Linked DNA regions of Zea mays. The protein of the gene in region 1 binds, or shares a complex with, the protein of each later gene. Links are inferred from orthologs where the notes say so. Each region holds a gene or a part of one and is shown on either strand. Other genes may lie near its edges.

The links.
Region 2: General transcription and DNA repair factor IIH subunit TFB4-like (region 1) and REX1 DNA Repair family protein share a complex: the UniProt entries of both Arabidopsis thaliana proteins name them as parts of the 7-subunit TFIIH core complex. The link is inferred for Zea mays from reciprocal best matches to the Arabidopsis thaliana genes AT1G18340 and AT1G12400.

The regions. Positions count from the first base shown.
Region 1 is NC_050099.1:247,477,385-247,481,887, forward strand, and holds the start of General transcription and DNA repair factor IIH subunit TFB4-like, read right to left. Parts: upstream 2,919-4,503; 5' UTR 2,713-2,918; coding exon 2,682-2,712; intron 2,580-2,681; coding exon 2,491-2,579; intron 2,341-2,490; coding exon 2,070-2,340; intron 1,995-2,069; coding exon 1,939-1,994; intron 1,798-1,938; coding exon 1,760-1,797; intron 1,682-1,759; coding exon 1,636-1,681; intron 1,228-1,635; coding exon 1,174-1,227; intron 1,083-1,173; coding exon 1,014-1,082; intron 121-1,013; exon of another isoform or gene 1-120. UniProt on the Arabidopsis thaliana protein: Component of the general transcription and DNA repair factor IIH (TFIIH) core complex, which is involved in general and transcription-coupled nucleotide excision repair (NER) of damaged DNA and, when complexed to CAK, in RNA transcription by RNA polymerase II.
Region 2 is NC_050101.1:47,599,333-47,602,872, reverse strand, and holds REX1 DNA Repair family protein, read left to right. Parts: upstream 1-1,575; 5' UTR 1,576-1,761; intron 1,762-2,223; 5' UTR 2,224-2,253; coding exon 2,254-2,288; intron 2,289-2,390; coding exon 2,391-2,568; 3' UTR 2,569-2,807; downstream 2,808-3,540. UniProt on the Arabidopsis thaliana protein: Component of the general transcription and DNA repair factor IIH (TFIIH) core complex, which is involved in general and transcription-coupled nucleotide excision repair (NER) of damaged DNA and, when complexed to CAK, in RNA transcription by RNA polymerase II.

The DNA.
Region 1 (4,503 bases):
GGCTCAGGTGGGCAAAGTGTGACAAGGTTTTGCTCTTTCTCACACAACATTGAATTATCTCAAACTCATAGCAGGGTACTTTATTCGCCACTTTATTCACCTCATAACCATTAGTGTTCATCCAAAAAATAAAAAAATAGGGGAACACACACCTGAAAGCTGTCGATCTGGGGTAGCCGACCGAACCGAGGAGGTTGGAGATGCGATGTGTTTGCTTGCCCGTGGTTTGAGCTTGGATCGAGGCACAGACGGTCAAAGGCGTTTACAGATGCTGATCTTGGGCCGAAGGGAAGGTGGTGTTGGTCGTCGGTGCCCGCGACAGTCGACGGCGACGTCTGCTGCTACCTTTGCGGATGGAAACCGACAGATGCGAGCTGGCGTCCCTGGACCAGCCCGACTGCCCACGCCTGCTGCCTAGCTTCGCTGACGAAGCCGACCAAGCTCGCGCGAGACCGTGGTTGTGGGGGAGGGTCGCTAGAGAATCGGAGAAGGTCTAGTGCTCATCGACCCCGGATCGACATCTTATCCAACGAGACCTAGGCGGCACGGGAGGGGGAGGCGGGGGATAATGGGCCTTGAGCGCCACGAAGGACTCAGAGGTGGAAGCGGCGGCGTTGGCTAACGGCTTCTCGAGTGCGTCGGAGTGGGAGGAGGGCGAGGGCGGGGCCGGAGGGAACGGGGTTTCGAGGGGGGGCAGGGCGGGGATGACACGACAGAGCTCTGGGAGGGGTGCAGAGCGGGGTTCCATGGGAAGGGCGGGGATCTCGCGGTGGACGCGAAGGCGGCTGCCACAGCGGGGAGGCGGGACGGGCATCACGAGCGGGGGCGCGCAGGAGCGGGACGCGCGGGCAGGCGGGCGTCGAGAGGCAGAACATGACGCACATGTGGACGCCTACAATGAGGACTTATAGAGTAGTAGGGATATAAATACATTCTCAAAAGCCCCCAAAAGGAAAAATAGAACTATATGAGCTGATATATTAATATCAGCAGAGGGAGCCTGGATAACTTACGGCAAGGTATTGAAACAGGCCATTTAGTTCTTGTGGCTTCAAATAAACTCCTCCTGTTATGTACGAAGCCTGCATAATGAAATATCGGTAACTAGTCAGCAAGAGGATGTTGTGACAGTATAACATGTGGATGAATTTGATGAGTACTAAAGAGCATTACCTGCTGCAAGAAAGCAGAATCCTGGGTTCCCACAATACAAGAGTCAATTGGTACCTAAGAGATTAGTAAGAATGTTGCCAGTCATTAAGCCACCGTAGCTAAAGTTTTGGAACAATTATGGATGCATATCTACATAGGCACATTCCAATGTCTTGCTCTTTCTGAACCCACTACATGTGTCAAATTTGGATATTAAGTACTTACTCTATCTTAGTGTATAAGGTGTAACTACTTTTTATTCTAGTCCCATAATACAAGGCGTATTATCTCTAGACATGCGTACATCGATGCAAAAGTATAGAGAGAATTAAATACATTTCTTGGTCTTTGAGCCAGAGGTGGTTACGCCTTATATACTGGGACAGAAGGAGTAATAAGTAACAACATAGTGACTGGCTGGTGAAACGAAAAGATCAATAAATCTCAATGGGACTAAAATGGATTAAGCAATTGATGTGATACCATGGAACGTTGAGCAGAAAATATTGAATTCATCACTGCCACATATCTGCACATAAATTTGATGAAGTGAAAACTAGGTCCTGAAAAAAAACTAGAAACTGCATTGATGACGATGCGTGCATACTGTTCAGGTCCGTCTGGAGATCCCTGCAGGCACAAAATCTGTATCTCGTGTTAGTATCAACTGCCGTGGCATTATAATAAGTATGAGAATACTGACTACAACAAATTATGGGCCAAACAAAGCATTATTTGTTGATCACAAATGATGAAATTAAACATTACTCAGAACTCTACACTCACCCGAGGTTGTGGATGCCGAGACCCAGACCGGAAAATCCTCTGTATATCTAAATAACCTCAATGTTAAGCAACACGAGCACAAATAAGATAGGTGAATGTGCAATAGTCAAGGAATTCAAGCGACTGGATACAGCACAAAGAGATGGACAGCGCCCCAGAGAGCAGCGACGCGGCATTGGCAGAAGCAACGGAACCGTTGCCTGCAGTGGCGCGCGCATCTTGTGCAATGAACTCCTCCGCCTTGCGGCTTGCCTTGTCGAAGGTGTCCGAGACGGCCACACCACCGGAGGGGCTGGCATCGCTGGAATCCAGGATGTAGGCACACGAGCTGACTCCCGCCGCGATGACGACCACACGGTTGAGGTGGTTCAGCAGCAGGAGGGAGTTCACGAAGTGGATCAGCTGCACGGGCATGGATATCACATCAAGCCAAGGCCCAATGGACGGATCAGGGCACCGCTACCAACGAGTCATCTAACGCACAAAATCGCCAGTGAAGATCGAACAAGGAAGCAGGCGCAGGGAAGCAAATGGAGGGTTAGGGTTGCATACGTGCGCGAAGAAGTCGGCGAAGGGGAGCGCCGCGGCGGCCCAGAAGAAGGGGTTCGTGTCGACGACGACCACGACGAGGCTGACGTCATCTGCACGCGCCGACGGGTGGCACCAGATGGGTTGAGCGCGTGTGTGTTAGGACCATGAGGGCATCGCGGAGTACGGGGATGCAAGAGTGGCGCGTGGCTCACCGGAGTAGAGCTTGGAGTGAGCGGAGGTCATGGCCGGCGAGGGGGGTTGCTGCTGCTCGCGGCCCGGCGGCAGAGGCCGGTCGCGCGCCCAGCCAATTCAAAGCTCCGAGGCGCCGGCGGGGGTGCTCGCCTCTCTGCTGGGGCGGCGGCGTGGCAGACTGGCAGCTCCGAAGCCCAGCAGGGAAGAGCCGCCGTGTGTTACCTGGCCGGCTGGGGAGGCGGTGTGGCGGCTCGAGAACGAGGGACAGGGAGGCGGCGCGACAACGAGGGAGAGGGAGGCGGTGCGGCGAGCGTCGGCGCGAGAACGAGGGAGGCGGCGTGTGAGCGGCGTGTGGGGATGGCAACGGGCATACCCGTCCGGTAGGACCGGGCGTTCGGTTATTCGGTTCGGTTCATCGGTTCTTGTAGAAATTCGGTCCTTTAAAAACTAGAACCGAAATAGTAAGATAAAAAAAACTATAATCGACTAATTTGGTTCTCGGTTCTTCAGTTCGGTTCCTCGGTTCTAACCGAACTATAACAGTCACTCTAAAATTCTGAATAACGACAACTTTTGTGACAAATTTCAGCAACATCTCCCCATAAACAACCACAAGTGCGCAATGACCATAATTTCATAAATAATACATGGATGATTAGAGGTTCAACATAAGTTGATAACACAACATCCGAAGTTACAAACACATGTAACAAATTGAATCTAATACTTTTGAGTTTTTCGGTTCTTTGGAGTGCAGAACCGAAAATGTCTCATTTATTTCGGTTCTTAGAAAAACAGAACCAAATTTCATAACGGTTCCTCGGTTCGGTTAGTTCGGTTTCGGTTCCTCGGTTCCGATTCTTTTTGCCCAGTCCAACCGTCCGATAGTATCATTTCATACCCGTATCTATCAAAAAAAATCTACCTGTCGGATTACCCATATATGTTTGCGGGTATAAAATCTTACCCATACACGTACCCGCGCGGGTATTTTTACCCGTCGCGCAACCCGAACCCGATAGGAAAGTCTTAAATTTCAATATACCAATCACTCAAAATATTAAATAAACATGCAAAAAAAATCAACTTCACATATAACAAATCATATAATCACATAACTTGGTATCTAGACAAATGATAGTAAAAGAAGAGTTTTATTTTAGCTAGGATGAGCTCTATTAGATGGTTATAGTGGTATTGATGCGGGCATATTTTACCCATGGGTAGACGGGTACGGGTAGTACCAACTCGTACCCATACCCGTCTACCCAACGGGTAGAGGTTTTACCCATTAACATATCTGCGGGTAGAGAAATCATCCCGTACCCGCCTTCATATCGGGTAAAACCCGTCGAGTATTCAGGTTTCGGGTATCCATTACCATCTCTACGTGTGAGCGACTGAGCGTTTAGCCGTTTAGGACTTTAGGTTTAGGGTTGCGGCGGTCGGCGGGTTGTCTAGTTTTGCCGTTTTGGTGACTTGCGTTTGGGCCTTGGGGAATCCGGAAATGCACCAAATGGTGGGGAAATGGTCGAATGGCTAGTGGTCGTTGGATGGCGGCGCCGCCATACTATCGGACGGATAGAATTGCTAGTAGGCTTTAGTGTACCTTAGTTAAATGGGTCGTGTCAGGCCGGTCTGTGTGCTTAAGTTGAGGCCCAGGCACGGTCCATGCATTATCTCAGGCCGGCCCGAGCCTATAGATAGGTTGAGCTGTGAAGGACTGAGTCATAACTAGAATTGTGGGCTTTGGGCCAACCTGTTATGCATAACCCAAATGTAGTGGGAGTGTGCGTGGCTCTCGTACTGGAGAGTGGAGACTGATGACTGGTGATTCCTGGT
Region 2 (3,540 bases), on another chromosome or scaffold:
ACCTTGCATTTTGTAGAAGGTATGCTTACCCCTTAATTTGTGATGGGATTGAAAATTAGAGTTTTTGTATGTCCAAAAACAATGTATATTTTGATTTATTTGAACACACAGTCGATGTCATTTCTGTTTGGCAATCCTAGGTAGAGATGGTAATGAAGTCCCGTTCCCCGCGGAGATATTACAAGACGGGGATAGTTACAATTTATTTCAATGAGGTATTAAAATGAGAAAGAATCATCTCCATCAGGTTTAGCGGGGACGAGTATGGTAGTCTCTTCTTCGTCCCTAATCCTCACGAGCCCATATAAACAGGCACTAAAGAATTCGGGCCATAGAATTAAGACTCAATGACCGACATATATAAAGTGACCAGCAAAGTGAGAAAACTAGCTTCTATTCTGTCATCGTCGCCGACTCGACTCTCTCGTTCGTCCTCCCAAATCCCAATCTCCCTCGAGCGGGCGGGCCAGGCAGCAGACCAGCTCTCCAGCGTGCTGGGTGCAGGGCTGCACCGCTACAAGCCGTGCAGCACACTGCACATCCCCTCAGGTTTGATTGTTTGAGACCGTCACAGTCATGTTCACCTGGAGGCTGGAGGCCGCTGGCCGCAGGTCTCTCACTCTCTTTGTCTCCTCAATTACTACTACCTAACACATCTTTGGTCACTTGTATTAGCAAATCTTGGGCAGCGGCACATCTGCACATGCCGTGCATTCATATAGCCACGTCCATGCTGCACGCACAAATTTTATTTTGTTTGATAATTACTTCCCCACCAAATGAGCTACGTTCTTGTCCAAAATTATAATAAATGCGCAAGTGATTTGCTGTGTGGTGGTGTGAAGCTCTGCGCGAAGTGATTTGTGTATTTTTTTCTCCTTTTTCATGAAATTTCGCAATTTAAGGTCATCTAATTTATTGGGTATGAGTACGACAGTTTAAGTATCAAATTTATGAATACCTAGTACCTAGTTAATCAGCAACCTTGCAGACCTAAAATATCCTAGATTTGTAGTAAGTTTTTCACCATCACCTTTTCAAAATTCTGTTACACAGTGTGGTTCCTCACTGAATTTTAAGTACTGTCATATGACAATTTGGTTCTGCTATTGCTGGACATAAATTTGTAATTCTCTGTTCACGCATTACACCGAACAACTACAGGGTACGGAGGGATTCAACGACAAACATAATAATCGCTTCTATTATTTTCGTAGGGGCAAGTAGGCCAGTCATCAACCGAGGTCAGCTGAGTCAGGAGAGGAGGAAGTGGCCCTCGGGTGTTCCATGATTCGTACGCAATTTTTTTTTTGGAAATTTAGATTCATACCATTAAAAGATCACCACTTTGGATCCATACCATTACTATCTCACTTATATATAGGTCCACATGAGTCAATGACATGTGTGATCCATGATATATATCTAAAGTTTGGATCTTTTAATGGTATAGATCTAATTGTTCTTTTTTTTTTTTGTGGACGGAAACTGCGGTGTCAAATTGCAAGAAATGGGTCGGACCGTGGGCTGTGAACATGGGTTTGGTGGGCGGGCGAAGAAGCCAGCGGGCCCAGCATCTTTATCGTCTGCCGCAAAGAGGGCTGAAGGAGAAGCGAGGAAAGGTGAGGCCGATAGATAGAGGAGCTGCGGCGCCGCCGGCGAGCGAAGAGTGGAGGATCCGATCCGAAGCGAGAGGACTGAATCCTGCGGCCGGGAGGGACGCGGGACCACGACGAGCGTCGTCGTCGGTGCCAAGCAACGGTGAGGCCGTCTCGGATCTGAACTTTTTTGTTTGGTTTTTTTCCCTCCCGTTCTGAATCGACATGGTGAGAGCAAGAGAGTTGGGAATTGGGACGGATCATGGAACTCCCCGAGGGCCACTTCTTCCTCCGACTCAGCTGACCTCGGTTGATGATTGGCCTACTTGCCGCTACGAAAATAATAGAAGCGATTATTATGTTTGTCGTTGAATCCCTCCGTGCCCTGTAGTTGTTCGGTGTAATGCGTGCACAGAGAATTACAAGATATCCGCTGAGATTATGCGCGCAAGAAAACGTGGAGCATCTTGCTGACCCTTTGTTCTGTCCTTCAACCAATCCTACAATCACTGCGACACCAGTCTATCACCTTCATGCGCGTCGTTTTCGTGCGAAAAGTTTGCAGTCCTGGTGCTGCTTCTTTGGTACTCCAACTGACGTTGTTTCTGTGTGGCGATGTAACCAGGCAGTTGTCCCTGTCCAGAGCACAGGCAAGATGGTTAACGCGATCAAGGGGCTGTTCATCTCCTGGTAAGCTCTCCTGACGCAGCTGAAAATGAATCCCTCGTTTGCATTTCTCCCTCTCTCCCTGCCTTTACATGGTTGCCGTCCGTCCGTCCCTCTATTTTTCAGCGACGTACCTATGGCACAGTTCATCGTCAACCTGAACGCGTCGATGCCGCCGTCGGAGAGGTTCATCGTGCACATGCTCGACCCTACCAACATGTTCGTGCAGCCTCACGTGGCGCACATGATCAGGAGCAAGATCGGGGAGTTCAGGGACCAGAACAGCTACGAGAAGCCGCAGTAGTGGAGGATCTACCGCGTCCTACACTCCTTCCTTGGGACTTGCTTTCGTTGCCTGTATTATTTCTGCTGTGAGCTGAGCACCTCAGCGGAAACGAGTACGCCAAATAGATCCCACCTGTGGCCTTGAAATCATACTGCTATGTGCTATAAACGTGCAGAGGGCACTGCTACTGTGCTGCACTTGTGGTATTCTGGGATTCTTTTTGTCAGGTCCTTAAAATCCGTTGAGAATTTGAGATCCAGATGGGGCTTAGACCCCGTTTCAATCTCACGGAATAAACTTTAGCTTCCTGCTAAACTTTAGCTATATGAATTGAAGTGCTAAAGTTTAGTTTCAATTACCACCATTAACTCTTCTGTTTAGATTATAAATGGCTAAAAGTAGCTAAAAAAAGCTGCTAAAGTTTATCTCGCGAGATTGGAACAGGGCCATAGTCACGTATATCTGTGCCTTTATTTGTATGTATCTTTGTCTTGCTATGGACAACAAAACTACGGTGGCACACTAACAGGTAGTTTGGAAATCCAAATCCTCTAGAGATCCCTATATTTTCCCTCGGTGAGTAATCCTAGGAACATTATCTGCATAAGGGCTTGCTTGAGAGCAATGATATTCAAAATTGAATAACATGAGAATTTTAGACTCTTATAAGCCCTTCTAGTATTCTTGCTCTCAAACAAACCCTAGGATTAGGGCTGGAAACGAGCCGAGCGGTGCAGCTCGGTGGCCGACCGAGCTCGGTTCGGCTCGTCTGTTTCACGAGCTGGAGAAACAGGCTCGGTTCAAAGGCGGCTCGCGAGCCATACCCTGATATTATATAATTTCATTATATAGTGAATTATTAGTATATAAATATGAAATATATAGATATCATTCATTATTATGAGTAATCTAAATTATTGTTTTTATATATCTATCATAAAACGCTAAGTAACTTACAATCTATAAAATTAGCTAATATCCATCATTATA